4 linked regions of the Arabidopsis thaliana genome follow. The protein of the gene in region 1 interacts with the protein of each later gene in a pairwise test. Each region holds a gene or a part of one and is shown in the gene's direction. Other genes may lie near its edges.

The links.
Region 2: the proteins of ATBET12 (region 1) and AT2G25890 interact in a protein complementation assay, tested with the Arabidopsis thaliana proteins (one large-scale study listed by BioGRID).
Region 3: the proteins of ATBET12 (region 1) and BCB interact in a protein complementation assay, tested with the Arabidopsis thaliana proteins (one large-scale study listed by BioGRID).
Region 4: the proteins of ATBET12 (region 1) and DiT1 interact in a protein complementation assay, tested with the Arabidopsis thaliana proteins (one large-scale study listed by BioGRID).

The regions. Positions count from the first base shown.
Region 1 is NC_003075.7:8,305,616-8,314,280, forward strand, and holds ATBET12 (Target SNARE coiled-coil domain protein), read left to right. Parts: upstream 1-4,703; 5' UTR 4,704-4,866; coding exon 4,867-4,880; intron 4,881-5,183; coding exon 5,184-5,334; intron 5,335-5,799; coding exon 5,800-5,856; intron 5,857-5,944; coding exon 5,945-6,004; intron 6,005-6,104; coding exon 6,105-6,190; intron 6,191-6,298; coding exon 6,299-6,323; 3' UTR 6,324-6,769; downstream 6,770-8,665. Other genes in the region: IBR10 (indole-3-butyric acid response 10), read right to left, coding at 1-17; HCD1 (3-hydroxyacyl-CoA dehydratase 1), read right to left, coding at 1,331-2,047; AT4G14450 (uncharacterized protein), read left to right, coding at 3,904-4,281. UniProt on the Arabidopsis thaliana protein: Required for vesicular transport from the ER to the Golgi complex. Functions as a SNARE associated with ER-derived vesicles.
Region 2 is NC_003071.7:11,033,995-11,041,193, forward strand, and holds AT2G25890 (Oleosin family protein), read left to right. Parts: upstream 1-3,308; 5' UTR 3,309-3,365; coding exon 3,366-3,890; 3' UTR 3,891-4,185; downstream 4,186-7,199. Other genes in the region: AT2G25870 (haloacid dehalogenase-like hydrolase family protein), read left to right, coding at 1-28, 141-308; AUR2 (ataurora2), read right to left, coding at 893-994, 1,082-1,154, 1,250-1,367, 1,456-1,552, 1,645-1,740, 1,822-1,917, 2,014-2,160, 2,251-2,358 and 1 more.
Region 3 is NC_003076.8:6,822,965-6,830,663, forward strand, and holds BCB (blue-copper-binding protein), read left to right. Parts: upstream 1-3,400; 5' UTR 3,401-3,661; coding exon 3,662-3,833; intron 3,834-4,025; coding exon 4,026-4,444; 3' UTR 4,445-4,784; downstream 4,785-7,699. Other genes in the region: AT5G20220 (zinc knuckle (CCHC-type) family protein), read left to right, coding at 1,220-1,382, 1,467-1,555, 1,634-1,766, 1,852-1,944, 2,044-2,146, 2,407-2,807; PI (K-box region and MADS-box transcription factor family protein), read left to right, coding at 6,239-6,493, 7,491-7,552, 7,673-7,699. UniProt on the Arabidopsis thaliana protein: Probably acts as an electron carrier.
Region 4 is NC_003076.8:4,056,167-4,065,279, reverse strand, and holds DiT1 (dicarboxylate transporter 1), read left to right. Parts: upstream 1-2,990; 5' UTR 2,991-3,360; coding exon 3,361-4,449; intron 4,450-4,678; coding exon 4,679-4,900; intron 4,901-4,990; coding exon 4,991-5,353; 3' UTR 5,354-5,429; coding exon of another isoform or gene 5,430-5,430; 3' UTR 5,431-5,701; downstream 5,702-9,113. Other genes in the region: MYB46 (myb domain protein 46), read left to right, coding at 341-621, 1,780-2,341; AT5G12850 (CCCH-type zinc finger protein with ARM repeat domain-containing protein), read right to left, coding at 6,092-8,212. UniProt on the Arabidopsis thaliana protein: 2-oxoglutarate/malate translocator involved with DIT2-1 in primary ammonia assimilation and in the re-assimilation of ammonia generated by the photorespiratory pathway.

The DNA.
Region 1 (8,665 bases):
TTCTCTAACGTACACATGGTGGTGATCGGAGGAAGAAGAAGATTTCTGGATGATAATGAAAACTTGAAATGTGTGAGAAATCGTGTTGTTGTTGAATTGTGCAAATATAGAGAGAAATATACCTTATCCTGATTGGTCTATGTTTCCATTTTGGTTCAATCTGTTGTAAAGGCCCATGGGCCGGCGTGTACGAGATCTCTTTTTTTGGTCAAACATAATTTCATTTGGATTTAATACCAAATATAATTTAGACCTTGAATGGTACTAATATCTAACATGTTTTTAGTTTTTGATTTTTCTGAAAAAAAAATTTAATTTTTCAATCAAGATTATGAAAATAAATATTTTCTCTACAAAAAGAGCATCTAGTTTTTTTAAAAGGGTTTTCGCAAATTTCTAGAGAAAATTCAAAATCTCTTTAAAAAGTTTTATCCTCACTAATGTCAATGAGAAATGATATAAACCATCTTTTCCTTTCTCATAGGATTCTTCTTCTTTCCTTTTTTCTTTAAAGAAATCTATAATTTTAGTTACACATGTTTTTTTTAATACAATTTATCTTTATAATCGTTTTTTTATATATTTTATTATCGGATGACTCAGTAAGTCTCGGTAAAAACATACCGAAATGCTACCGAATATACTACTTTCGATCTAAATAGAATTGTACCGTCACACTATCTGATCTTCATAGTCGTTTCCTCGTCCGCCTTGGATGTCCACTCACATCTCGTTGGAATTAACGACAGAAGAAGAAAAAGCATAGCTCAAGTGTAACAAGAAAATATGTGTTTATTGTTTGGTTTTTCCATCTTCGTTACTGACTTATTGTATTGGTTTTACATTCAAAAAAAAAAAAAAAAATGGTTATTTTTGTGTAACACTTCCTCTCTCTATATACAATGTTGTCTTTTGGATTAATTCCCCACACCATATAAGGTTTCTCGTGGGTTGTCTAATTCGGTTGAGTTTGGTTGATCAGACTGCACCCGTTTCTCATTCTATCTTATGGCGATATATACGATTATGGTCATATGACGTAATTTGGATATTATAAATAGATGCATGATGTGACATATATTGCTGATGCTAGTACGATTATCAAGTATGAATTACAAATATTCTAGCTAATATAACTTATCAATAGTTGTATTGATATGGTTATTAATATTGTTAAAATTTCAACTAAATGAAAAATAAAAAGACGTAGGTTAGATTAATTATGTTTTATTGGTGAGAAACAAATACGTGCTTAGTGAAATGGACGTTGACTTTTGTCGGCAATATTCATATTTCAACCATTTTTCTCCCAACAAGACAATGAGAGTTTCTAGAGGTTGTGAGTGGCCAAGTTATTTGCCGTTAAATCAACCATCCGACAAAGCTCCGGATACAAACTCTTCCTAATGGTTGCATACACCTCACCATTCCATTTCTTAGCGGCCAAACTTTCTCCAAGGCTCACTGTAGCCTCCACCACACCTTCCGCACTATCATGCGCCGCTGAGTCCACGATCCCGAGAGCCACCGCTTCTTCTCCTTTGAGCTTCTTCCCGCTCAGTAACAGCTCCCTTCTCGCGATACCTGACCCAACCTTAGCCACGACCAACGCCGAGAAGTAGTCCGGCACCGGTAGCCCGATGTCCACCTCGCTCATATATAGAACCCCACGGTCTTTCCTCATGAAAACGTAGTCGTGGCTCAGCGCAAACATCAGCCCCGAGGCTGCCGCGTGGCCGTTCAAGGCGGCGATCGTCGGCATTGGAAGATCGAGGAGGGCGGCTAACACCGGTTTAAAGGATTTGACCATTTGGTGCATCCGTTTTATAGCACCGTGTCCAGCGGATTGAGCCCACGCGAGGTCAAAGCCATTGGAGAAGAACTTTCCGTGACCGGTAGTGATGAGGACGGATCCTTTTGTGGATTGAGACTTTGCTTGTTCAAGAAGCGAGAGAACAGAGGCGATCGTGTCGGGGTGGAATCTGTGCTCGTCTTCGCCGGTTAGGGTTAGGAGAAAGAGATCGCCGCGCTTCTCTAACGTACACATGGTGCGTACGTTAAGGACTTACTGATTTAGGATGGTACAAGAATAAGGAAAGAGTTAGTAGAAAACTGTGATATAGAAGTGAGTGTTGAGTAATTAATAGAAGGGAACCCAACTGTATATTTATTAGACGTGCTTTGCCACCGAAGTCTTTAAATTGGGTAATCTTCCCAACCATTTTGGTGTCAATGTTATTAAATGCAGACGAGACAAATGTGTATGAATGAATGTGTGACTTTCTTGCTGAAAATGATAATTGTAACTGTTTGTCCTTGGACGTAATTACCATTTTGTTCTTTCGCAGCTATTGGCTAAATCAATTTTGGTTTCCTTGTCTCCACTTGATTAATATTAACAACCTTTTTTTAGTGCTTACACACTTACAACTGTTCGTATGATTTTTTAGATATCTTGTCATGGCTTTTGAATCTATGAACTTTATTTTTGAAGCATGATTGATTGAGATCTCTGCTTTAGCATTACTCATGGACACATTCCATAAGAGACCGACATGAGTAGTTAAATTAGTTCACTAACTCTTTAAGTTGTGCAAACAACATTAGTTAGGTTAATATTAGTCCGCCAACTCTTTAATTTATTAAATACACAAGCTACATAGAAAAGAACAGTGTCTTTAGATCCATACTTGACCAGCCGGTCTAACCGATAAAACTGTTAACTAGACATATAACAATCATTATTTTACAAGATCCTATAATTCAAATACATATTCAAATATTTATTTAATATGCAAAGATTTTTATTTTATACCGAATAAATACTAAGATTTATCTTGTTTATTGACTTTTATTTTTAAAAAATTTTATACCGTATTTATGTCCGATCAGAGCCGTCCATGAACGCAATAGGACCAAATTTATGCTTGCGGCCTCAATTACTACAAATAAAATATTGACCTAATTTTTTTATAACTTTCAGTAAAAACGTTGATTATTTGATTCTTAGATACCTATGGTCGTCAAAAGTTTGAGTCCATCTACCTTCATTTACCTTGTTATTTTTTCATTTTCACTCATTAAAATAGGTCTAAATTTTGTTCTTTGCTTGCAATCTATTAAATACTAGAGACGGCTCTGTGTTCGATTAATGACACCACGATGGGACTTATAATACAAATCAGTATACTCATATATTACAAGATCATGTTAACTTTCTTACTATTTATATTTTGGTTAGCAACATGCAATATGCGGGTTTGAATAAGGCCATAAGGGTGATGACACACTGACAACACTAACACAAACCATTGGATTACATTTTTTTGTTCGTGTAGAAGTTAATCAGGCGGCTAGTTGACTTGACTTGGCCTGAAAAATGCAAAAACCTCACATATTTAAGCACATCGTGACATGGTCCGATTTTTGCTTTCTTTTGTTTTGTGGCTTAGATTGTAAAGCTCTGTCCGCACTAGACTCAACTTACATATTCATATTCATATTCACCTCTGGTCCATATATATTATAAAAGTCCAATAGAACATGTTCACGAGAATCTGTATAGGTAAACCTCATCCACCATTTAACATTTCATGAACATGTTTGACTTCCATTAACAAGATCGATGTCTTTGTAATTTAATATTAAAAAGAACTTTAACATAAAAACAAGCATGGAAAATTCAAAAAGAATTGGTCAAAGAGTATTGCCAAAACAAAAATGTAAAGAAACGGGAAAAGGGAAGATAAAGCAGCTAATTTTCTTTCTCCAACTCTGACCAATGACCATATCCAAGCGTGTATGTAATGTACCTAGTCAACATGTTACAAGTCGTGGCCCTCCTCACCTTATTATATATGTCATCTACATAAACATCAGACATCACACACCAACATCATTATTATGTTCTTTGATACAAAAGTACTCAATTATCCTACAATTCACAAATCTATCTCCATGGCGTCCACGATGCAAAGAACAAGCAGCTCCGCGGCCAGTAACGAGAGGCAACTTAGCCAGCTACAGAGACGAGCTCCGTCTTTAATGATCAAACCAACGTCTTTTAGTAACTGGAACGTGGCGATCCCTCTCCTTTCACCGCTCGCTCCTTCTCTAACATCATCCTTCGACCAATCACATGTTCCTCCGCCGCAGAACAAGACTGAGATACCAGTGGAAGAAGAGGTGAAGAAGACACCAGTTTTCAAGAAATGGCAACATCCCGCGTCGCCGTTCTGCTACGAGCCAACAACGTTTGTCCCACCGTTCATCCAGGTTTAGAACGGTTCATCAAAATTTTGTAGATTTGATGACTCAGCTACCAGCCCCGTGTGAATTTTGTTCCTGTGATATTACACGCGGTTAACTATTTTTCACGTTTTTGTATCAGTTTTATCCTCTAAGAGATAATATTATTCACTAACAAAGTATTAATTCAAGTTCTAAATGGGTAAAAAAAAATGCATAAAACACATGAAACAAAATTATGGGAAAAACATGGAGAAAATAGTTGCATGAATTCTTTAAATAAATTGTCAAATTAACCCATCATACATCTAGGGTTGGACTTTTCTTTAAAGTTCATTTCTTCAAAGTGTTCACTTTTAACAAATAAAAAAACTAACTTCATGGATTCAATATGGGCCGAACTAAAGCCCAGTAAGCCCAATTCAATTTAATTCTATTTTCTTCTTCTTCTTCTAGGGACTTGTAGTACAGTAAGAACTTTCGTACGTTTCTCGCAAACAAAACACGAAAACTTACGCTTCTGGAATTGAATCCAAATCGAGAATTTCCTTTACAATGCTCTAAATTCGTCTGTTATGTTGAATCCTTCGTAAGAGAGTAGAATCGAAGACGAATCAAATGAACTTTCGAAGGTTTGATCTATTGATCTCTTCCTCTGCATTCGAATCCTGTTTTTATGTAGATTCATCAATGTTTAACAAATGATATTGATTCTGCTCTCGATCGAATTTGATCTAGATCTCTTCACAATCTCCAGATTCACTCTTTCTGAAATCTTAGTTTTTTGAATCACCGACATTCGAATTCCTGATTCTGAGTCATTGACCTAATTCTAGAGTTCTAATTACAGTTTTCCAGATTTTGAATTGAGTGTATCCAACTAGAATTGGAGAAAATTGGATCTGATTAAGAACCAATGGTTTTGATTTCTGTAGGGAGAATCGTGCTTCGAGAACGTCTCTCTTTGATGGCCTTGATGGACTTGAAGAAGGTCGCTTGAGAGCTTCTTCTTCGTATGCTCATGACGAACGTGATAATGATGAAGCTTTGGAAAATCTTCAGGACAGAGTTTCGTTTCTCAAGAGAGTATGTTTCTTTCATCTATATAACTAAAGAATCAAAATATCAACACAAGCATAAACATTAGGATTAAGAATTGTGATTCTTTATTGTGAAATGGATGGTGCTACTGATCCTTATTGTTTGAGAAAGAACAGTCCCTTAAGCACTGCTAAGTCGAGACCCTAAATGTATCTTTCGAGCATCGAACGATGATCTAATGCTTTCGAAAAGTCTAGATATAAAGAAATTGAACTTAGTTTTTAGTTCCTAGATATGTATTGAAATTGTAGATTAAGAACATTCTCTCCAGCATTGCTATCACTAGACCCTGTATAAGTCTTTCGGACTCAACGACAAGGATCGAGCTATGATGTAATGCCTTAGAAAAGTCTAGTTATGAAAACAATGCCTTTTTTGTTTTCACTCTTGTCAAATCTAGTTTGCAATAACGCTTGCCTGAGATGTAAGTTGGTAATAATATCTTATCAGGTGACTGGAGACATACATGAAGAAGTTGAGAATCATAACCGCTTGCTTGACAAAGTGGTAAGCTGAAAGTTTGATTTCATCTGTTTCAGTTTGTAGATCTCTATCACATGCTTTTCTTCTAAGCTATTTGTTGTTGTATCTCTAGGGGAACAAAATGGACTCCGCGAGGGGGATAATGTCGGGAACGATCAACCGCTTCAAGTTGGTATGTAAATAAGATTTCGTACCTTTTATATATGCATCACCCCTTTTGTTTTTCGCTATCAAAACTTATATCTGAATAAAACTCGATTTTAACACGACAGGTCTTTGAGAAGAAGTCTAATCGAAAAAGTTGCAAACTCATAGCTTATTTTGTGCTCCTGTTCTTGATCATGTATTACCTTATTAGGTAAAATACACTTCTTCTTATAGTTATCAAAACACTTGACTTTTCTTAGGGACTGGTTCAAGTCCTTGTTCTTTGACTCGAACACTGACAATCTTTCGGATTTTGCAGGCTATTAAACTACATCAAAGGGTAAATTTGGATACAAGAAGAAAGTAGAGTGTTAAATGAATAGTTTCGTTTGGGACTTCCATTTTTGGATTTCTCCTGATGAATGAATGATTCAGACATAGTAAACAAGTCAAGGGACCCTATTGAAACCCTATTGAAACCCTATTGAAACAAGACAAAGAAAGAGATTGTGAAGAGACTAGTGAACCAACCGAAAGAAAAAATGTTTGATAGAGACTTGTTTGTCACAAGCAAAATCATCTCATGTCATTTCATGTAATGTAGCAAAAGCTTCTTTATCATTTGTCAACTATTTGATCTTGGGTTCATGTTAGCAGTTTTGTCTACAAAAAGCTTAATTGATTGATTGATAAGCTTAATTATTAGCTTTCTGTGAAAAAAAGTTTAGCACTTTGTAATAAAAACAAGATAACTTGGCGTCTTGTTTCCAAAAATTTCCAATTTTCAGAATTTTAAGGCGCAAATACCGTCCTGTATATTGACATTTTGCTAAAGATCCAAATACGTAACAACATGAGAAATATCATTTTTGAACGACTCGCAACAATTCCACAAGTTGACAGGACACTACTATGCAGAAGAGTTTGATTTTTTTTCCACTTTAGGTAACAAGTTGACAATAATCGACAAGTTCATTTTTGGTTTGGTAATAGACAACAAGTTGACATGTACATTTCCAAATGGTTCGGTTTCTAGGTCAAATCATCTTAACAATTATGTAAACTATAGTCTTAAATGTTGAATTTACGAGTGAATAACAGGTTGCTATGCTAAATAGTAAATTTCTTGAAACTACTGTTTAGATAAATAGTCAAATAACCATGAGTTTTAATATAGCTACTAGAGGATAACATTTGAGTTCTGGCACAATATATAGAAAAAAAGTAAAAAAAAAAAAATGTTACCTTATTAAATCGGGAGTAGTTTTTCAATTTCTTCTGATCTTTTAGTATATGCTAAAATACCATGTTAGTAAATATGAATGTGATTTTTGTAAAATAAATATATTATAACACAACAACAGATGTTATGCTACATATATTAAACAGGGTGCTAGATTATAAACAAAAGTGTTTTGGATTCACATGAAAAATATGTGTAATTATTTGAAGAAGTTAGATATATAGATCATTCAAAAAATAGTAAGCTACATGGTTATCTAATATACTGTTGGTAGTGAATCCATCAACCTAATCGTGACATATATACAATGTACAATCGAAATCGTTTCTAAGAAAGCCGACGAAATACTCAGCCTTTAGAAAGACTAGTATACGACATGTCCTACCACCCTAATTACTAAGAGAAAAAGATTCATGATGCTGCGGGAAATGACTTGCTTTCTTCAATTAACTCTTCATTCGAGCTTTGGTTGCTCTAGCTCACAAATTATCGTCGTAGTTAATTGAATATTTACAAGGAGCTGACTAAAAAATTAAATGTACATGCACATACATTGGAGCACGCCCACCATGGCTATGCTAAGCATGCTCTCTTAGCAGAAGTGACACCTCTCAGAAGCTATTGGGCCATAACAGAGTTATGACACGGGTCATATCCGTCAAAAGCACATTGCTTCTAGAATGCGAGGTATGATTGCTAAAAACACGATCGACAAGGAACTCAAGAACATCAACTTGCATATTGAACCTACATACATGCCGTATATAGGCATGTGCGAGGAGTATTAAGGATATAGGACTGGTTAACTTCGGTTATCACTGGTTTGGTTGAATGTGGTTTACTAACCACAATAATCTTATGTATATAAGTTTAATCTCGATTACTTTGTTAGTTAAGTTGGTTGTAACAACACTTTAAGCTGAATAAGAAAAGTTGTTATCTTCTTCTTCGTCTCTCTTCTCCGATCTTGAATCTCCGATGTATCGGATTTTATCATGGTATCAGAGCACAATATATTGATTCCGCGTTTGTTGTGTTCATCGGGAGAGAGTTTCATTTTCGATTTCTTCTTTTGATTCTTTCGTTCGCTTATGCCATTCGTTATTTTTCCGATTCACCGGAGTATTTTTCATTCTGTTTCTTTTACTTCCTTCAATTGACCTTTAGCGTGAGCGAATCTCGTTTTCTATACATCAAATTCGTCTCGCTTTCTTTGTAATTTTTCATTCTTACTCTGAGAATGGGATCTTATGTACCTCCACCTGCGAATCCGGTGACTCGTCCTCCGATCAACAATGGTGATCAAATTCGATATCCAGTAGATCAATATGAGAATCCGTACTATCTTCATAGTGCAGATCACGCTGGATTGATTCTTGTGTCAGATCGACTTACGACAGCTTCAGATTTTCATTCATGGCGTCGATCGATCTTGATGGCTTT
Region 2 (7,199 bases), on another chromosome or scaffold:
CAATCATTTGGGCGTTTCACCGGATGAGGTAATAATCTAGCATCTTTTGACGGCGTTGTAAAGAAACTCAAGTAGGCATAAGTATAGAAGTCAAACAAAAAATAAGATAGTTGATGAAGCAACCCGGATTTTCTTATCAGATAATGGCGATTGGAGATGGAGAAAATGACATAGAGATGCTGCAACTGGCCTCGTTGGGAGTTGCTCTGAGCAACGGTGCAGAAAAAACAAAGGCGGTGGCTGATGTGATTGGTGTGAGCAACGACCAAGATGGTGTTGCTGATGCCATCTACCGCTACGCATTCTGAGACTCCACCACCATATTTAAGTACAAGATACACCAAATTAAATTTTTGAGGTTAAGTAGGCATTATTCTTCTTCTTTGTCTTACAGATAAAAGACAAACATTGGTCATTCTTGTCTCATTCACCCACCTTTTGAAGGAAAATGATTGATTGCAGAGTGCGTCTCTTGTTGTTTTGTTCATGTTCGGTTAATCTTTCATTCGTTTGCCTTTGCACCTTTGCATCTTACAACATAAAAAATGTTCCGGATCTCTTGTGAACAAATCCATCTCATTTGGTTACCTGCAGTAACATCAGTTAACGTTAACCAATCAATTGGTGAATAAGTTACCGATGAACAAAAGCTGTTGTAAGTTTGAAACCATTCCGAACAATTTTTATTTAAAAAGTGATGTAGGATTCGAAAATAATTGGAGTAAAGTTACACGAATCTTGTGGCTATATAAACTTCGTAGAAAAATGTAGTACAAATACTTTTGGAACACAGCAATTACATATATAGAACTATGAAATGGTCAGACTTTTTGCAGTAAGTGGTGCAAAGTGCCAAGAATGCAATCTTAAATCTTTTCCTAGCTTCATCGCTTCATCCTCTGTAAAGGCCTGATGGGTCTGCGTTTTGCACAATCCACGGGTGTTCAAGAAGCTTGTGCAAGGCCAAACGTTGCGTAGACTCCTTAACCAACATCTGTTTGATCAGAAAGTGTGAAAATCAGAATTCACTCTTCAAATGCACAAACACTTAGAGAGATTTACGAGGAATGCGAGTAGAAACCTGGCTAATCAGGTCCTTTGCAGATGATGACACAATGGGTTTGGGAGGGAACTTGAGATCCACTTGAACAATCCTGTATCATTTGTCGAACAAAACCCTTCTTTAATGTACATTCCACTGACCAAACATCATATACTAATCCCATTCTACGCTTAATGAACATGTTACCTTTTGTATGTCTCTGAATGCTCCCTGGCCTCAAAAGGAGGAACACCATAAAGAAATTCGTAGCAGAGAATTCCTAGACTCCATATATCGACACTCGCATCATGTTCAACGCTTTCCACTGTGAATCCAAAAGCAGAAAAGTCAATTAGCTGGTTGCCGAAGAAAGTAATTTAGAATCACACAAGAGAGAGAGAGCTTTCTCTTACCCATCTCAGGTGGAAGGTAATCCAAAGTGCCACACATAGTCCTTCTACGGTTGAATGTGTGTACTGACCATCCAAAATCTGCAATCTTGAGCTCACCCTGAAAACATATATCCATGAATACATAAACACATAAGCTAACTGCAATCACATGGCGTTGATGGAGAAAGATAACCAGATTCAATTTGTTACCTGAGCACCAATCAACAGATTTTCAGGTTTTATATCTCTGTGAATTACATGCTTTCCATGGCAATAGATGAGGGCTCTAGCCAATGACGCAACATACTGCCACAATAAACGTAAGGGTATGACTACACAGATTCACATTAACATGCTAGAATAAGTTCAATTATCACTAGGACTTACAGTTGCTGCTCGACGTTCGCTGAAGTACTTGCACTTCTGAAGCTCTTTATAAAGCTCACCCCTTACAGCATACTCCAAAATCAAATAAACTCTTTTCTGCAACAACGGTATCCCAAAAACTATGTTAACCTCACAGAGCCAAACATTGTATGTCAACAAGAAGTTCTTTTACAAGCACAGATAACACAAAACCTGATCATAGAAGTAACCGTAGAGCCGCAGAATATTGGGATGCCGAAGATGAGATTGAATCTCTACTTCCCTTCGTAACTGGTGTTCAACTTGAGATTGTTGAAGCTGAGCCTTAAAAAGAACCTTTAAAGCCACAATGTGATCGCTCTGTTTGCAAAGACACATAGAAGACAGCTTGGTTAAAAAAGACATCAAATTAATTCTGCTTGTTTAACATAATTGTGAAGAAACACTAACCCGTTTCTCTCTTGCTAGATAAACATGGCCAAACTTTCCTCTACCAAGTGGCTTTCCGATATCGAAATCGCTTGTAGTCCATCTCTTTTGTGCAGCCTCTGAAGCCGCCTGATACAACATTATCACAAAGATTGAAATCCAATCAACTCTCAGATACACTTAATCATAAACGACAAACAATCATTGATACTTTAAAACTTGAAGATAAAAGGATAAAATCAACAGCTCCTTAACACTAATCCACGGATTTGTCAATTAATCTAGGGTCCTCGCTGTAAACGAATAAATCCACAATCATATCATGAAATTTCTCAAAATCATACCAACAAGTCTTTCTCAAATTAAACAGAGAACATTGAAACAAGATTCTTTCTGGCGCAAAGAAAATCAAGCAACCAAATCGATAATCCCAGATCACATTCCATTAGAACAGACCAAACGCAGAGAAAAAACGCAAACCAACAAGGAAGTAAAACCCTAAATTGAAACAAATTCGACAAAAGAACCAAATGAAATTGGAATTTGTGAAACCAAGAACAAGTTATTTTCTTACAATTTGCTGCGTCTCTGTAGAAATCCCCATGGAAGAGATCGTTGATGAGCCAAGATAGCGAGAGAAAGAGAAGAAAGAAAGAGAGAAGAGAGAGTAATTTTCACAAAGGGAACAGATCCAAATTGAGAAATTTAAAAAGGGGAAAAAACGTAAACCACCAGCAAAGCAGCAACGGTCGAATCCAGATGCTGCCACGTGTTGATACATCTGCATCGAGGTTTTTATTTTCAAATAATTTGTCTCCCGAGATGATACAGTCGCTACAGGCCCAGATATTATTAAGCCCACGGTATTCCAACTTCATAATCACTAGGATAATATACAGTCACTACAAGCCCAGATAATAGCCCAATAAGCTTCAAGATCGTTTGACGATGAGATTTTAATTCGGAACTAAGTAACCACGTGTCAGTACCTCGTCAAAGTAGCTCCATGCAGAACTGACACGCCCGCGTGACACTCTTCTCCATTGCCTAACACGCCTCGTCGTTCGACACATGTCTCGTTTAAGTTTAGCCTCTCCTTCATACTAGTCTATTTTCATTCTTCATAATAATCACAAATGGTAAGCTTATTAAAGCTACAAAAACAACATAGAACATTAAATCCATACTCTCTTAGAAAAAGAAAAAAAGAAATGGCGGATCATCAACAACATCAGCAACAACAACAACCAATAATGAGGAGTCTCCATGAATCATCACCATCGACTCGGCAGATAGTGAGATTCGTAACGGCAGCTACGATCGGCCTATCACTCCTCGTGCTCTCAGGACTAACACTAACCGGAACGGTGATCGGTTTGATCGTAGCGACGCCGTTGATGGTTCTGTTCAGCCCGGTGTTGGTACCGGCAGTGATAACGATAGGGCTTTTGACGATGGGATTCCTATTCTCCGGTGGTTGTGGGGTGGCAGCAGCTACGGCGTTAACGTGGATTTATAAGTACGTTACCGGAAAACACCCGATGGGAGCGGATAAGGTGGATTACGCGAGGATGAGGATAGCGGAGAAAGCCAAAGAGTTGGGACATTATACGCACTCGCAGCCACAACAAACACACCAAACCACAACAACTACTCATTAGAGTTTAATAATTATATGGATCTATATGTTGTATTAAGTTTTATGATTATCCTACGTATGTTTTTTTAATACTGTTCTTACCTTTTTGAAAAGATCTATCTAAAATTTTATTTTCTATTTTCCATACAATTTTTTGTGTGTTTAATTGCTGATCGGTATTTTCTGTTTTATGATTGTGAAATAGCTAGTGTAAGGAAAGATGATAACGAATTAAGTAAATTAATAAATGCCAATTACTTGGTCACCGTCTGGCTTCTAGAATTATATGGTGGCTTTCTTGGTATATGTAAATGTAGTTTTGAGTGTGGTCCGTTTGATTTGAAATAATATTGTTGTTTTTATGTTCAAAAAGAAAATTGCAAGGTTTGTGAATTTTGTGTATCAATACCAAGGCTTGAACCACTTTATCTATACTCGCTAAATAAATTTCGAAGGCTGCGCTAAATGGCTCGTGTCATTTACGTTGTCTTCATGAACGTATTGTAGTTAGTGTGATTGTAAAAATATTTCTTTGTTTAATCATTCCTCAAAAATTGTATTCGGCCTTTGAGAGATGCGGTGAGGTCGTATGCATGTTTTCCCAAATTTCGAATACTTGCAAACTGTTCTATGAATGTGGTTTTTAGGTACTCATGAAATAATTGAAAACTTTACTTGTCTATATGTTCGTAAACCATTGGCATTGAATTGCATGGCATGGCTTACTATGCGCGCACCAACAAAATGCACATGCATGCTTCACGAACGTATAAAGAAGCTGAGGGTGGACAACATTCACTGCTTGTAGTGGGCAATGCAGTCTTGTAGAGCAGTTGTACTTTCAAACGAGGTTCTTTGTCAACGTCTGATTGGTTTTCTAGAATAATTGAAGGAGTACTTTTGTCCTTATCCTCGCAATGGACTGAGTAAGTTTCCTCCGCGGTTCCCTACTGGCCATGAGCTATGAATTTTTCAAGTGGTGGGTGCCAGGTGCCGGGTGGGTGCGGCGTTAGGATTATTCCTAAAGTTGAGGATCGATATACGGTTAAGTTTTTTTGTTATGGAGTGGTGTTTCGTAGTTTGTCATTGCATCAGTTTGATAATCTCTTTCTTCTAGCACCAGATTGTTTAGATAAATGTTAGGATATATGTGGAAGCAAAGGAATGATGTGGTTCACAACCAAGTCTCGATCCCAATATCAACTATCTTCAAGCTCATCGACAAAGAGATTCAGAACGTAAGCACCGCAAGACGTAAATGCAAGCGTTATTGCAACCTAATGCAAACTCTGGTTAATTTTAACTCCCACTATGTAATGTGACTTCTACATCATTTGTCTCTTTGTTTAATTTTTTGGCCAAAGATTCAAATCCATTGATATTCAGAGACAATAGTCTATATGGATTTATTAGATATAGTCTATATGGACTTATTAGATGATATTAACATTCATAGAGAAAACAACAAATTAGGATACGTTTTCTTTCTAATGAGAAAGTGAATGTACGAATGGTTGTTGGGAGGCTATTGTGTCTCGTAGATATTTTAAATAATTTGAATGTTTACTAATATAGAATGTGTATTCAATTATAACTATTTAAATTATTTTATTGTTGGTTTAGACGCATTCTTAAACTTTCACATCATTCTCTCGTGACTATTATAATAGTTATCGTGCTCGATCAATCATCTCGTGACTATTATAATTTTATCAATAGTTTATGCATAAGAGAACTGATAACGATCATACTTCTTTTTGTCATTATGATAGCTTATGATTAATCATTGTTTATCCATACTTGACGCTTGTAAGTGAAACATATGTTTAAATTTTCAGGCTTAATTTAATAGCCACGAACCAAAAATTATCTTATAATAAAAGTTTGGTGCGATTTAAGAAGATTTGTCCCCAAAGCCCTATCTGAAAGAGGTCAAATTGGATTATTAAATTCAACATATTAATCAATTTGATATTTGTTTAATGGTCTGATTAGTGACAATTATAAGTCTAATATTGCGAATCTTTTGCAGTGAGTATTCCACGTGATATAGATAAGTTTCCCTTAATGGATAACCTTTGCATCAAACAATTAGAAAACAAATGGAAGAGTATCAATCAAGTAGATCTCGAAGCAGTGGACCCTAACACGATACTGGAACATGGACCAAACCTTAAAATATCGTCCAAATTGCTTATTTTCTGGAAGGTTACAAGTGCACAACACTCTAATAATATATGCCCCGCATAACAATTTTTAAAACTATTTCATCTTAGACCTCGGATATTTTGAAGGAAGCACATTTTCTTGAAAATCACTAGGTGACTTGTGTTTCTTTCTTTGGAGCATGTCAATTTACTCCCATCAGCTGGAGAGCCAAAAGTTAAAATTAATGTTCGAAATTTATTTCATAAAAGCTACGTACGTTGCATCCTTCCATGATCTAGAAAAAATGGGGGACAATAACCAAATTTATTCACTCTTGTCAGGTCATGGGGAGTAGTCTACGACCTTGAAAGTCACGTGACAAGTAATATATACTGTACCGTCCAAATATTTTCTTACTGTAATGTCTTATGTTTCATATCGCTAGACCCTTAATATTAGTGTGGACTAATTCATATAATTGCAAATAAAATAGTATGATTCTACGATTCTTCAAAATGATCTAATAGTTACAGTCTGGTCAAAATGATCTAAATCTTTATAAACAAATAACAGCTACGGAATAATTAACACAATTTTTGGTGATAAACTTTGAGTTATGATAGAAATTTTTTTTTTTTCAATTTTTAATGTGTATCTTAATTTCTTCAATTAATGTATCCCTATGTTTTATGTGACTATATAACTTTTGGTTAGTGATACTCCAAAAATGTTGTTTTAGGTTTTGACACACATATTAATAATTTGTTTTATTTTTTACTTTACAAAATTTCTTATTGGTTAAAACATAAATCACTGCAAATAAAACTTTAATTTTGTTTGTAGTCAAAATTAGCTTTTAAAAATGTAAATTGATATTTATTCTAATTATTTTTTTAATGTTCTGACAATTAATTTAAAACGGAAAGCGTAATAAAGTAGATGTTGGGGCTGATTGGTAACGGCTGTTACTTTTGAACTCTAAATATTTCGGATGTTACGACTTTGACTGTAAAAATTTTGGTTGTAAAAATTTTGACGATAGAAACTTTAACTGTTAAAGTCTGATTGGTACAAAAAAATCACAATTATTTTTATTATTATTTAATATTTTTTATAAATATTATTTATGCTAAAAAATCAATTTATTTGGTAAAATAGTAACTAAAATAAATTTATTTTAAAA
Region 3 (7,699 bases), on another chromosome or scaffold:
TTCTTACATAGCACGTATCTCTCCATCCATGATTGCCTTATCCTCAGAAGTCATCAAAGATGGAGTACGGCTGATAGCCGGGATAACAAAGGCCTGTTCCTTCCATGTCAAAATATTCTTGGTGCGACGAATATTGGCGTCTACCCTTTGCTCGGTTGTTAAAATTCAACTCTCTCTCGATTGCTTTTGCGGTGCGTATAGCCATCTCTGGTCCTTCAGCATCGTTTGGTCGGAACATCACCCGGATTTCTTCTTTAAGTCCATTAAGAAACATGCCTTTTACAAGTTGGTCCTTATTACCTATTTGAGCTGCCCGAGCACGGAATTCATTAGCGTACTCATCTACGGATCCTGTTTGTCGAAGTGATGCCAATTGTTCTTCAGGAGAGGCCGTAATATCTCCTCCTCCAAATTCTTCTATAAGCTCAGTTTTTAGTTGAGACCATGTTAAAGTCGGGTTCTCTTGTCGTAGACATTGTAACCAGAGTAGAGCATCACCTTCCATACTCCTGAATGCAGTGTCTACCTTGCAAACCTCTGGAGCGAGTTGCAAAGTAAAGTAAACTTCAATGATTTCTAGCCATATGAAGAGATGGTCTCCATCAAAACTTGGCATCTCAATGTCCTCCTCAAGGACAGTTGCAGATTCTTGTTTAGAATGCGACGATTTTGAAGCCGAAACCATCCTTGTAAACTCCAAAATAGCATCCTGGATCTCTTTCTGTCTCTTATGAAACCCAATAAATTCTTCATGCAAGGCCTTGTGGTACTTTTCTATCGCGATCAAACGTGACTCAATCCTACTGGTAGTCATTCCTCAAGTTCTTATTTGCAGGTAGTTAACAATCACGGTCACACAGAACCCCACGAAAAGCTCTCTTTATTGCAAGACTCAAAGAAACCCAAAACGTATAAAACTCAAAGCTCTCTCTAGCTTGTATGAGTCTCATAATCGAGACCCTATCTTTATTTATACTAAAACGTAAAAGCAAAGCACTCTACTAATAGGAAAAAAAAAAAAATGCCAAAATGGAAACTCTTTGAAGTTTGAGGAAAAAAAAAACTCTTAATAATTTCCTAAAAAGAAAAAGAAAATCTTAAAAAAGTAAGGAATACATATTGTTACTTGGTCAAGTCGGTGTACTTGATAGTTGGTAAAATACATGATCCACAATTTGGCTAAGCTTCAAAAATGTGCTTTTGGTGATGGTTTATTCAGGTTCATATCTGGTGATTCGCGTGAACCAAGGTCATGGTTTGGTCCTAACGGTCAGTACATTCGAGAGCTTCCTTGTCCAACTTGTAGGGGAAGAGGTTATACTTCATGTTCAAATTGCGGAATCGAGAGGTCGCGATTAGACTGCCCTCAATGCAAAGGAAAGGTACTTAAAAGTATTAAATTACTTTAAACTTTTGAGTAACAAAAGTCTTTCCTTGTTATAGAAACTTTGCTTAAATTTGTGTAGGGCATAATGACTTGTCTCAGATGTTTGGGGGATTGTGTCATATGGGAAGAATCAATCGATGAACGACCTTGGGAGAAAGCTAGATCCAGGTAGTGTTGTTATTCAAGAGTTGAAGTCTTAATTCTGTTTAATGTTTGACTAATAAACCTCATTTTTTTCTGCCACAGTTCTCCATTTAGAGTAAAGGAGGATGATGAGGTTGATAATTTAGAGATAAAGTTCAGTAAAAGGCGAAAATCGAAGCGGATTTATCAGTCACCAACTCCTGAAGTTGGACAAAAGATCAGCCGATCTCTAAAAGTTAGTTTCATTCATATACACTTCATGTTATTCTACTCTCTCCATGGGAAATTGTCATAGTCAGTCCAAATTATGGTTTTTATAGAGTCTCAATGCCAAAACTGGACTTTTTAGTAAGCGCATGAAGATTATACATCGTGATCCAGTGCTTCATGCTCAAAGAGTAGCTGCAATTAAGGTCTGTAATCTACTCCATTTTGTTTTATATCCTAAATTAACATGGAACAAGTTTTGTTGTTTTTTTCCCTTGAATCTGCTTAGTGTTGTTGTGTTCTAGAAAGCTAAAGGAACACCAGCTGCTAGAAAGCATGCATCCGAATCTATGAAAGCTTTCTTCAGTAACCCTGTAAACCGTGAACAGAGAAGCCTATCTATGAAAGGTAAGTCTCAGTTTCTTGGTAGAATTTCAGAGTTTAGGTCCATGTAGTACTCTTTTGTTTCTTGAGCTTTATCTGTTTACATTCTCCAATAATGTGAGATCACTGTGATGAATTAGGTTGAGGCTTGTCACTTAAAGTTGAGATATAATGTTGATTCGAAGTGTAGAAATGTAGGTTTCGATTTGATTTCCTTTTGTGGTGACAGTTCCATGTGCAAGCTATGAAATGGTAAAAGAACCATTTTTCTCTCATTGATTCAGGAACTAAGTTTTACTGCAAGAACTGTGGACAGGAAGGCCATAGACGCCATTACTGTCCAGAACTAGGCACTAATGCGGACAGAAAATTTAGATGTCGGGGTTGCGGCGGGAAAGGCCACAACCGTAGAACTTGTCCTAAGTCGAAATCAATAGTCACTAAAGGCATTTCCACTAGGTATCACAAATGTGGAATATGCGGTGAGAGAGGTCACAACAGCAGAACATGCCGGAAGCCGACCGGAGTGAATCCTAGTTGCAGTGGTGAAAATTCCGGGGAAGATGGTGTTGGTAAAATAACGTATGCTTGTGGGTTCTGCAAGAAAATGGGACATAATGTAAGAACCTGTCCAAGTAAACAAGTTTCAGACAGTGATTCTTGTTTAGAGCAAGAAGGTTCTTGAACCTGTTTATTTGGTTAGGCTTGGTTTTGCTATTGAAGCTGAAATAACCAATCACTGACAAGTCCTTTTTAGCGGATGGATATTTCGGGTTTATAATCGGACCAATCACTTGAGTCCCGATTGGTCTTTTTTGAACTATCTAAACTCAAACAAAAACTGAAGTGAGTTTGACCGCTTTTGGTTTCGGGTTATGACCGCATTCGTTTACGTGCAAGTATATATACTTGTTGGGTTGATTTTTCTTGAATACGACCTGAATTGGTACAACGGACCCATGCAAAGAAAGACAATCGAGCCTAGAAATTTCTGAACAATTATCGACTTATCCATATAAATGCTATAAACACCTAATATCTCATCCATATCCACATTTAACACTTTGTTTTTTCTAACATTAGTATGCTACTATTCTTCGATGCCTTAATATCGGATGGTTATTATTAGGTAGTTATATTTAGTCTGAACACTAAATTTTATAATCATTACCCAAAAAGTAATTAGTCACGTTTTTTACTTGATCTAAATTTACAAATGTACAATGTCTTTACGCGCTAAAAATAACAATTGTGGACAAAAAAAACTTAGCAGACAAAATTGACCACAAGTGATAATATCTAAATTTGGATTTGTTCAACGACACAACACGTAACGCGTCTTCCCGTATCTTGCGTATGACTCCTTGAGAGCCTCTCTTTAATTGTCCTATAAATATAAGTCTCTCTTGCAAGACTTTTGAAACCACAACAAACACAAAAATCAAAAGGGGTCATTTACTATCTTTTAAGAGACGACATATATAGTTCTCGACCAAGAAAAGAAAAGGGGGTGACCTGAGTTCTTCAACACATAACATAATGGCCGGAGTTTTCAAAACGGTTACGTTTCTTGTTTTGGTTTTCGCTGCCGTTGTTGTCTTCGCGGAGGACTACGATGTTGGTGATGATACGGAATGGACGAGACCTATGGACCCCGAGTTCTATACTACTTGGGCTACCGGTAAAACTTTCCGTGTAGGCGACGAGCTCGGTGAGTTTTATTGTTCTTATAGCTGAAATATGTCTTTGTTTTTCTTGTTCTTATAACAGTCATAGTTATGGGATCGTGCATGGATCATGTCGGTGTTGTTCTGTCTTTCTTTCTATATTCTTATGAACATATTTTAGCTAAAAAAGGGATTAATTGAGTTTCCACCGACTGATGTTGATATTCTTATTACAGAATTTGATTTCGCTGCTGGGAGGCATGATGTGGCAGTTGTATCAGAAGCTGCATTTGAAAACTGTGAGAAAGAGAAACCCATTAGCCACATGACCGTTCCTCCGGTCAAAATTATGCTAAACACCACTGGACCACAATACTTTATCTGCACCGTCGGTGACCATTGTCGTTTTGGTCAAAAACTTTCCATCACTGTAGTTGCTGCTGGTGCAACTGGAGGTGCTACTCCTGGTGCCGGTGCTACCCCAGCACCTGGATCAACCCCAAGTACTGGAGGAACCACTCCTCCCACTGCGGGTGGGACCACAACACCTTCAGGCTCTAGCGGAACCACTACTCCAGCTGGAAATGCCGCTTCCTCATTAGGTGGTGCTACTTTTCTGGTCGCTTTTGTTTCTGCTGTTGTTGCTCTCTTTTGAGTCACACTCGAAACCTAGTTATGTATTTGTTTTACCTTACTCTCCTTATTTAAATAGTCATGTATTTGATTATTTGTGAGAATAAGGACTTGTTTTCAAGTCATTATAAACGTCTTATACTTGTGATTAGTATTGAGTTTCAATATATGATTATTCGGTTGCAAAATAAAGAGTGGGTTTCAATATCATTGAGATTACTACTATATATTACCATATTTCATGAAAATTAGTCATCTTCTTCATCCAATTTGTCTAGTTTTCATGTATAATTAGACAAAATTTGCCTTCTCAATATTTTCAATCAACGAGTAAACATTACCTGATTGTGAACCGAAGTTAGAATAATATTAAAAAGACATAGGTTATCTACTAATTCAATATACCAACAATATGGTATTTTTGTTTCAGTGGATACGTTTCTCACCTGAATTCACAACTTTTTTTTTTTTTTTTTTTTTTTTTTGTGTGTGGAGATTTTTAATCTCTGGCTTTATAGTTTGATAATCGAGAAAATGCCAAAAAGTATGCCCGTACTAAGTACAAAACATAAGACCACAAAATTCCACAATAAATTGACACGTGTCTGATCGACGTGAATCAAGAAAACCATAAACTTGTTTTGTTTTCAACAACCAAAGACATTTTCCCCATAACAATGTAAGCATGATAAAGTCTAATGGTTATACCAAGGTCTTTGGTAATTACACTGCTCCTTTTTCTTTTTTTTTTTTCCTTTTTCTAAACCATCTGAATTTAACTTTATTTTATTTACTTCATTTGTCAATGTGATATCTTCAACTTTCAATAATTTAATATGTTTGATTTTTTAGTGTAGCTACGATATTCGATAAGACCTATATATGACATAGAGTTCTTGAAATAGCAAGTCTTGGTTTTGCCAAAGTAAGAACCTGTAAAAATAAAAGCAATTCTTTACAGAGATTTTTGGTTTTAAATCTACAAAGTTGCAAAACTCGTTGCTTTCATTTGATTTAATGGTTAGTTTTCGAGATAGACAAAATGGGAAATTTATTTGCAAAATGATTTAGTTGCAAAATCATTGGGACACTATCTTATTTCACGTTTTATATAATTGATGACATAATAAGATAGTTTCCCAAAGTAATTAATTGATGATATATGTGGTTGGATAAGAAATTATGGTATTATCATGTTTGCCTCTCAAATTTAAATTTAATTAATTATATACATACACGAGTAAGCTAAATAAAAGTTTGACCACATTTCATATGAAGAATTTTATCTTTCCAGATATCTAGAATTTGTTTTCTCTACACAGTTCATTGAAGAAAACATAGTACGGAAGAGACCAGAGGTTAATTAAACGACACTTTAACCTATCACGAGAGAGACTGAGATGATCAAATCAAATGAAAGAAAATAAACATCAATCACATGCAAAGAGTGTTCATTAAGCAAAATCACTAAGTTTGTTTTTACTTTATTTTATTACGTTACTTCAAGTTTTTTTTTTATCTTCTTGGTACTGTAAAAAAAGGAGAGAAAATAGAGTTGGCTATGTGTAATAAGCGAACCAAAAGCAAGCCTTCCATGACTGTGCCCTCAAGAAAGTAGCTTTGTTTTCAATCCCAAACTGTCAAAGTCTCTCTTCACCTCAAGATTAATCAAAACATTTCTCTCTCTATCTCATCAATGTTACTTTAAAACCAATGCTCCTCTTCTTGTTCTTCATATAAACCACATATCCTCTCCTCCATATCTTAACAATTTCATAGCAAACCCTAAAATTGAGAAAGAGATAGAGAGAGAAAGATGGGTAGAGGAAAGATCGAGATAAAGAGGATAGAGAACGCAAACAACAGAGTGGTGACGTTCTCAAAGAGGAGGAATGGATTGGTGAAGAAGGCTAAAGAGATCACAGTTCTTTGTGATGCAAAAGTTGCCCTCATAATCTTTGCAAGTAATGGTAAGATGATTGATTACTGTTGTCCTTCCATGGATCTTGGTGCTATGTTGGACCAATACCAGAAGTTATCTGGCAAGAAACTATGGGATGCTAAGCATGAGGTAATTTTGCTCTCTTTTTAATCTAAAGTTTCTTTGTCTCAAAAATATTCCATGGCCAAAATCATGTAATAAGTTTTCAATTTCTTTACCAAAAACATGTCAAAAGACCCTTGAATCTTTAACCCTAGATGCAGATCTACTATAGTGTTTTGTCTCAAAAACATATATTCTGAGCTAGATATCATGAAATTGGTTATTTAATTTTCTTTTCCTAAAATATGTCAAAGAGAAAGAAAAATACTCTAACCCTAGATGCAGATCTACAAAGGTTTCTTTGTGTATGTAGCCTAACATGCGTCTTTATTGATTTTCTTGTACTCAACAAGACATGGAGCCACAAAACATGGAAGTTATTCTTTTCTTTTGTTCCTGCTTAATTTGTATAATCTAGAGTATATCTAACCAACTGTGTTTTGAAACCATCAAGACCAAATCTTATGCGAATCAGATCCGTAGTTTATGGAGTTATTAATTGAGAGAAAAATCTGGGATGTGATATGTATCTGGGAATGAGAATTTCTGATTAGTACACTGATTTTACGTTTCTGGCTTTCAAAACTAATTGAAAACTTGAAAATTGCTTTTGAGTTTTGAGTATCCTTTTTAAATTAAATTTTGATGCAAATATTATATGTATTATTAATTAGCTCTGACAAATGTAGGTTTAGTTCTCACAAATGAGATATATCTCTATAGGGTAATAAGCATACAGAGGCTTTTATACCATTTAAGTCACTGCCTAGTAGTATTTGTGCATGTATATCTGTGTATGCTTTTACATATACTAATATCAATATATATACATATATGTGTGTCAGTGTGTGTGTGTGTGTTATATGCTTTGCATGAAACATGAACATAGAGAGACTTGTCATGGATTGCTTCTTTGTATATCTATATTTATGTTTAGTTTGTACAGATTACTAAGTATTTTTTTTGTTTGATCTAAATTCTTAAAACCTTTATTGCTCATCTAATACATATTTTTTGTCTCCAGAACCTTAGCAATGAGATTGATAGGATCAAGAAAGAGAATGATAGCTTACAACTGGAGCTCAGGTCATTATTCTTCACCCTTCATTGCCATATCTTTACCCTAGTATAGTATATATATAAAACATTTGATTATAATAATGTTGAAATATCAAATTGAGAAGTTCATGGAAATTGTGACTACAGGCATTTGAAGGGAGAAGATATACAGTC
Region 4 (9,113 bases), on another chromosome or scaffold:
GACAAAAAAAATGTGTTTAATTTGAAAAAGAGCCAGGGTTCGGATGTTTTTCTTTTATGTTTTAAAACAAAGCAACACTATATTATAAATATAATATATACAATAAAAATATAATTAAGGAATAGAGATTAAAAAGGAAGAAGTGCAAATGGTTTTTCTTCCCAGAATTGTAAGCAAACCATACAACCATCCCTTTCTCATCATCATCATTCTCCCTTCATCAAGTCTTCTCTCTTTTCTCTCTCTATTATAAAACAAACTTCACTCGTTCACATCAATGGATCCTTGAGAAAGACAAACAAATTGAAGAGAAATAATAACAATTAACTCAACCAAAAATATGAGGAAGCCAGAGGTAGCCATTGCAGCTAGTACTCACCAAGTAAAGAAGATGAAGAAGGGACTTTGGTCTCCTGAGGAAGACTCAAAGCTGATGCAATACATGTTAAGCAATGGACAAGGATGTTGGAGTGATGTTGCGAAAAACGCAGGACTTCAAAGATGTGGCAAAAGCTGCCGTCTTCGTTGGATCAACTATCTTCGTCCTGACCTCAAGCGTGGCGCTTTCTCTCCTCAAGAAGAGGATCTCATCATTCGCTTTCATTCCATCCTCGGCAACAGGTTTACATTTTTACCATCATTTTGGTTTTGACATAATAACAACAACTAAGAGATAGAATAAAATATGGAAACTAGTGGCCGGAAGATAAATATAAATGTTCTGGCAAACTAGCTTTTGTCTGGTGAGTCTTGTTTTTAAACTTGTGTAGCTTAATTTGTTTTCGGTTAATGGGTACAAAGTTAAAGCATAGAAAAGCCAGTCAACTGATTTTAAAAAAAAAGTCCACCCTAAAACGACCAAATTGTCAAATTAGATCTTGATAACGTTTTCACCATATTTTATTTGATTTTTTTTTTCTACCAAATAAATAAGAAGTGCAGAGCTATCTATTTAGAGGTATAATATCTATGTTTGTTTTAAGGACGAGTTTTCAATTATACTATTACATTAATCAGTAAAAAGTAATACTATATATATAAGATACGTTAACATCGTAAAATGTATAATCAAACTTACGTGGAAGGATAAAGTTTGGTCGAGTTTTCATTGGTACGATTAGTAACTGTTTAAATTCAAAGGGAAGAATGATTGTGTACGAAGAAAATTGACCCAAAAGAAAGTTGAATTAGAATAATAGTAGTAAGAATGGAAATAGACGCATAAAACCAAAATAGGTATGAGTACATTCACATGTAATTATGTGAGTGGTCAAAGTTCGTTGATCGTGGGTTTTAAGACTTAGAGTGCGTCTTATGATCTTATCTAACAACAAACACTTATTTTAGTGAAAGCGGCTTTTGTCACTTTACACACCTTTTCTTCTCTTCCTTAGGGTTTTACTTCAACTTTCATCTTTGTAATTATATATTTATTAGTTCCTTTTTTTGTCACTTTCTCCAGAAATATACGTTCTAGTGTTTTTTACGCAGGACATGTTTCCTCTCTATTTATATATATATATATATATATATATATATATATATATATATATATAGATTCAATTCAAAACACGCAGTGTGTATAATGTCATTTTATTGCTTAATATGATTGTGCAATTTTATAATTGTTGATATATTGCCTCTTTTTCACGTACTCAAACATAAAAAACATGAAGAACGGATCACTCTCTAATTCCCATGCAAACCATGCACTGGTATACATTTTACATAACATCATCTCATTAAACTATTCTACTCTCTTATTCTTCGATTTCATAGGTGGTCTCAGATTGCAGCACGATTGCCTGGTCGGACCGATAACGAGATCAAGAATTTCTGGAACTCAACAATAAAGAAAAGGCTAAAGAAGATGTCCGATACCTCCAACTTAATCAACAACTCATCCTCATCACCCAACACAGCAAGCGATTCCTCTTCTAATTCCGCATCTTCTTTGGATATTAAAGACATTATAGGAAGCTTCATGTCCTTACAAGAACAAGGCTTCGTCAACCCTTCCTTGACCCACATACAAACCAACAATCCATTTCCAACGGGAAACATGATCAGCCACCCGTGCAATGACGATTTTACCCCTTATGTAGATGGTATCTATGGAGTAAACGCAGGGGTACAAGGGGAACTCTACTTCCCACCTTTGGAATGTGAAGAAGGTGATTGGTACAATGCAAATATAAACAACCACTTAGACGAGTTGAACACTAATGGATCCGGAAACGCACCTGAGGGTATGAGACCAGTGGAAGAATTTTGGGACCTTGACCAGTTGATGAACACTGAGGTTCCTTCGTTTTACTTCAACTTCAAACAAAGCATATGAATATTTTTACGTCATCTTATTCTTTTTTCTATTGCGGTTTATACTCAAGATTCTTAGCCACACACACATAAATGCAAATATATATACATTGTTAGAGAGTATTTTGTATTTCGAATAATCTTTTCGTACTAGGGCTTGAGCCTTGAGGTGCCATGTAATGATTAGTCAATGTAAAACATATATCCTATAATAAATAAATAAAAGAAATAATAAGCACATACATTCTTTAATATAACAGGGGCAAACACTTGAAGAATTTTGTAATCAAGTAGCAATGGAGAAGATTGAACTAATTAAATGAAAGTTTTTCTGATGTTATATCTTTGGATAAAACTGAACATTTTGTTTTATTGAATGTACTTTAAAACATTTGGTAACTTTCTTAGACATTCACATTAGAAAGTATCCTCTTACATAAAAGAATCATGTATTCAATATTTGATGTCACACCTTACTCTAAACAAACAAATCAAAACTATGAACCATATAACACTCAAAGAAAAAAAAACGAGAGGCCGCTTAAGGGTTTACACTAGATTTAATTCCAAGCGAAGCCATCTCGGCCCATCTTGGACAATGTAATGAAAGCTACTATTCTATTGCCAGTTAATCTTTCATTGGACGATCCACTAGTAAACGCATAGTTTAAGATCTTTCAAAACCAAAAAACAAAGCTAATAAATCAATAGAAAATTTGTTGAGTGAAGGATTTTGCTTTGTATGTTTCGTCGATCTAAAAAGACCAAACCCAAACCCAAAATGGCTTTTCGTAAATATTTCAGCCAATAGGATGAGGTGACTGACCCACCAAAGACGGAGATCTCTATTTCTCACCTCACGATCTCATCTCATCATCACTCTCTCTCACTCTTGTCCGTATATTCCTTTTCTTAATCTCACCGTCCGATTCCAATCCAACGGTCAACATTTATCCAACTCTCTCTTTCCTCTTCTTACTCATTTCCTTCTTCACTTCCCTCTCCTCTTCACACCTCTCTCTCGCCGACGACGCTACAACCATGGCGTCTCTCGCTCTCTCCGGCTCCTGCTCTCTCGCTTTCCCTCTCAAATCTCGATCTCTCTCTCTCCCTCGTCCTCCTTCTTCCTCTCTCAATTTGACGAAACCTCTCCGATCTCTCGATTCTCGCTTCTCCTTACTCAAATCTCCACTTCCCGTCTCTTTACGCCGGAGATCATCAACTCTCGTTAAAGCCTCTTCCACCGTCGCTTCAGCTTCCTCTTCTCCAACTCCTCCTTTGGTTCCAGCTCCGGTTCCATGGCAAGGAGCTGCCATTAAGCCTCTTCTCGCTTCGATCGCTACTGGTTTGATTCTATGGTTCGTTCCAGTCCCCGAAGGTGTCACTCGCAACGCGTGGCAATTACTCGCGATCTTCCTCGCCACCATCGTCGGGATCATCACTCAGCCGCTTCCTCTCGGTGCTGTTGCTCTAATGGGATTAGGAGCTTCCGTTCTCACCAAAACCCTAACGTTCGCCGCCGCGTTCTCCGCTTTCGGAGATCCAATCCCGTGGCTCATCGCTCTTGCCTTCTTCTTCGCTCGCGGTTTCATCAAAACCGGTCTCGGTAACCGTGTAGCTTACCAGTTCGTTAGACTCTTCGGTAGCTCCTCCCTTGGTCTCGGTTACAGTCTCGTCTTCAGTGAAGCTCTTTTAGCTCCGGCGATTCCTTCTGTCTCGGCTCGTGCCGGTGGAATCTTTCTCCCGTTGGTGAAATCTCTCTGTGTTGCTTGTGGGAGTAACGTTGGGGATGGAACAGAGCACCGTCTTGGCTCGTGGTTGATGCTTACTTGTTTCCAGACTTCTGTGATCTCTTCTTCTATGTTCTTGACGGCTATGGCTGCGAATCCTTTGAGTGCTAATTTGGCGTTTAACACGATTAAGCAGACGATTGGATGGACTGATTGGGCTAAAGCTGCGATTGTACCAGGACTTGTGTCTTTGATTGTTGTTCCGTTTCTTTTGTATCTCATCTATCCTCCTACGGTGAAGAGCAGTCCTGATGCTCCTAAGCTGGCTCAGGAAAAGCTTGACAAGATGGGACCTATGTCTAAGAACGAATTGATTATGGCTGCCACTTTATTCCTCACGGTAAGTGTGCTTCTGCTTCATCGGATCTGTTCTTACTTATGGTGAGAGCTTGATTTGAAAGGTGCTTCAGTATTGAACATTGAGAGATTTTAGCTATTGTAGCTCCTTAGATTAAGCTAGGGCTTTGCTTCTGTTTAATGCATTTGCTTTGAGTGAAAATGTTTGTGGTTTTGGTGTTTTATTACAGAGAAGGTTTTCCTTTTCTAAAAAAGTGTTCTCCTTGACACAGGTTGGTCTCTGGATCTTTGGAGCTAAGTTGGGTGTAGATGCTGTGACTGCAGCCATTCTTGGATTATCAGTCCTTCTTGTGACAGGTGTTGTGACATGGAAAGAGTGCTTAGCTGAGTCGGTCGCATGGGACACACTCACCTGGTTCGCTGCTCTCATTGCGATGGCTGGTTATCTTAACAAATATGGTCTCATTGAGTGGTTCAGCCAGACCGTAGTCAAGGTTTGTTAAATGATTTGATGAATGCTTAATAAGCCTAATGACTTAGCATGCTAATGAAATGTTTTGACATTGTTTGGGTTTTGATTGCAGTTTGTGGGAGGATTGGGTTTGTCATGGCAGCTATCTTTTGGAATCCTCGTCCTCTTGTATTTCTACACTCACTACTTCTTTGCTAGTGGAGCTGCCCACATTGGTGCTATGTTCACTGCCTTTTTATCGGTTTCAACCGCTCTAGGCACTCCACCTTACTTTGCAGCCTTGGTTCTTGCGTTCCTTTCCAACCTGATGGGAGGATTGACCCATTATGGTATCGGGTCTGCGCCTATCTTCTACGGAGCTAACTACGTGCCGCTGGCTAAATGGTGGGGCTATGGATTCCTGATTTCAATAGTCAACATTCTCATCTGGCTTGGTGTAGGTGGTGCCTGGTGGAAGTTCATTGGCTTGTGGTGAGGACCACCATACACCAATCTTCCCATTCTTTTCCTTACTTATATATATAATCTCTTAGAACGGCTTTGAGATTCAGATTTGAGAAGGATTGAAATCAGGGTTATAAGGATTGAGCAGAGTTTTTCTGCAATTTTTATTCTCACTCACACACATTTTGAAGTGTAAGCAATCTTAACTTGCGTCAATTTTGTTTGATTTCTAACTTTACTGTTTCAAAGTGAGACCACCACTTTACTTGATAGTTACTCGACTTCCATAAACGTGTTAGTTGAGAGATTAATGTCTATTAGTCTATGAATCGCTGGTTAAAGTTTAGTGGAAAAAACAGGAAAGCAGAGAAAGCAATAGGAAATGAATGAATCTTATTAGCTGAAACAATATGTTATTATTTCTCATACAGTGTTCTTTGACAAATATGAAGGAGATATTAGAAACAATTGACAAACTGAGAGGATACAAAAAATGTAAATCAGAAATCCGGGAAGTAATAGAGGCGCACTTTGGCCATTGTTACAACAGAGATGATACAATAATTAATTTAATGAGGTGATAAAAATAAGAAAGTAAAGAAATTTCAGAAAGAAGCCTGAAAAAACTGAGCCTTTTAGGGTTATTAGAATCGAAAAAAGCTTACCCGGAGTTTGCTTTTGTTTCCGTTTGCTTTCTTGAATAATAAATAAACGAATCATCAGTTTCACAGCTTCACAGAAATGTGAACCTCTCTCTCGCAGCTGAGGCTCAGCGATCTAGGTGCAGCTGTTCAAGCCACGCATCAAGAATGTCGCTCTCACGAGTGTCACTGTTGTGAGGATTCACACTCGAACCACCTTGAGTCAATGGCCTTGCACCATTCATGTTCACAACACGGTTTCCGTTCCTAGGTGATGAAGAGTCTTTTAACATCTGCTGAGCCCATGAAACATCTGCTTCCCTGTTTGGGTTATTAGCCAAGGAATGAGATTTTCTCAACCGACCTAACTCATCTGATTGGACTGACCAATCCACCTTGCTTCCATGGGTCTGGTCCCAACTTGACCATGGACTTAATGGCGAACCAGAATCAGTCGGCATTAAATCACGGGGCAGACTAGATCCAAAATCACGGGAGCTTAGGCTGCGTGAATGTAGCTGCTGTTTCATTCGAGCATTCATTGGGGAAATAGGCTCTCCGCCTCGGGGTGACGAGGCTTGCTGCAGAAGAGAATGTTGCTCCACATTCTTTGGAGAAGACATTAGATTTGTCTTGATAGGAGAAAGCATGCTCTGCTTATTATTCTGCAGCTGATTAAGAAGCGCGGACTTGTGGGAAGGCGATAGAACAGATGAAACAGCAAGTTGATCAGAGAAACGAGGAGATGCAACCTCAGCTGAGAAGAGTTCCTCCAGATTTGAAGGGTTCAGTGTCTTAGGACGAGCGGAATGATTCATAAAGCGTGGACTGTGCATATCGCCAGCAAGCTGACGTTGCATTTCAAACTCATGCAGCATGCTAAGCTGCTCAGAAGGAATATCTCTAGCGTTAAGAGAAGATCTCAGACGACTCAACTGGATATTGCTTCCAGGAAGATTCAACGCCGGTATGTTCTGCTGAGGCCAACCCATCGATGAATGGGGCATACTACCATTTCCAGAAGGAGATATTGGTGGGGTGAACGAATGTTGAGCAGCAGATGGTGAGCCTGGTAACATGTTCAAAACTGACGCCATGTCCATAGTAGAGGCGGAAACAGCAGACGAAGCCCGAGGAGATGGCAATCCAGATCCTGTGGAAGGGTACAAGGGACGCAACTCCTCATTTGCGTGAGCAAAGAAGCAAACCCTTCGGTTGCAACCCATTCCGTCCTTGCACAATCGTGTTCTGTACTGAGCAGGGTGTAGCCAGCATTCAAAAACCCCATGAGCATATTCACACATATCACCTTGCTTACAGGATCCTTTCTTAAAATCCGGGCATGGAACACACGTATAGTGAAACTTCCTCGGGTCTCTTCTCCTTGCATTCTCACCTGGGTGTGCAAATGGACATTCAGTCCAGTCATGGGAATATGCTCGAGAACATGGGCGGATCTTGAACGAGAACATACGAAACTCATCGGTTGAATAAATCCCGCTTTTGATATCAGGCAATGATGGATCAATTGGGTACTCTTTCTTCTCTGATGCGAAAGTTACATCAGTACCGTGTGGCTTAGTCGGAGAGGATACTGAATCTAAGGAGAGTAACGAGGAACCATTATCAGGGGATGATGAGAGAGACCGGAAACTTGATCCCAAGCTAGATGACGAGGCATGCAGATCTTCAGATATAATCTCGTCTTTCTTCAAGATCTCTTCAAGGATGGTTCTCAAACCAGGAGCGTGTGGAGACACAACAAGAACATCAACAGGACGATTTCCATGAGCATCAGGGATATTAGGATCTGCTCCTACACTCAAAAGCAACTTGACAACATCCAAGGAATTCACAGAAGCACCAGAAGCAGCGCAATGAAGAGCAGTACTTTTATCAGGACCACAAGACAGATTCAACTCCGCTTCCGGGAAAGAAAGAATAAACTTCACAACATCTAAACTCCCATATAACGAAGCAACCATCAGCGGGGTTCTTTGCTCAAGAACCATTCTTCTAACAAACCTCTGCCGTCTGTACCAAAGACCCATCTGGTTGATACAAGACACATCAGAGAGTTGCCGCCTAAACCCCTCCACATCGTTGTCTGCAGCAAACTCAAGCAAGGCAGAAAACGAATGTTCCCATTCAGCAGCATCATTCATGGGTTTGGCCAAAGATTCATTCTCTTGGTCTGACAGTGATGTCAAAGTATCCTCTATATCCAGCTTCTTAGCAAGACCACACATCCTTCACGGCACTGGAGAAGAAAAAAGATCTGAAACAATCAACCAAAAGATAAAAAACGTTACTTGGGTAATGAAATCAACCAATAACGTATGCTTCTTGCAATGTAGAGAAGAGGTATATCATAAAAAATATTGGTCAATCAAAATCAGCAATTAAGGAAAGCTATTGAATTGATAAATGATTATAATAATAAAAACTTGACCAGAAAATAAGGAAACAAAGTAATTAGAATTTGACAACGAAAGTCAGAAGATTTACCAAAAGAAGACTCAAAGAATTAAACGGATCTAATAAACTTTTCTGAAATGAATTAACACAGAAGAAAACTAAATCTAAGAAGCATCAGATTCAGTATCGTTCAGCTAAACATTCTTCTACTCAGAAAAAAATTCCTACCAACCAAATCAGATAAACAACTTTAAGAAGAGACGATTCAATATAACCAACTAACCTTAAAAACCATATTAATTAGAAACAAATTGATAAATAAAAAAGAAGAAGTCAATGAACAGTCAACCACAATCGAAATCTCAAAACTATTTTGACTTAAAATCTCAATCACCCAGAAATATATTTCAGATTGATAAACTAAATCAAAAGAATCATTTGAAACTGAAGTTCTTCAGCAAATCTAATACGTAAAGCTTACCAAAGATCACAGTCCGAATCAAGCGATCGGGTAAGAAAAAAACAGAACTGAATCTAAACGGTAACGGGCGAAACAGAGAACCACATTTTCAGATCCAAAAGTGTAAAATGCAAAAGGAACAAATCTAAAGAGTGAGGAAGAAGAAGAAGAAGATCGATCAACCTCAGCTGAGAGATTTTTGAAAGAGAGAAAAAAAAAACGAAAACGGATGAGAGGGTAACTGGTGTGACCGGAAGAAGTGGTGAGAGATA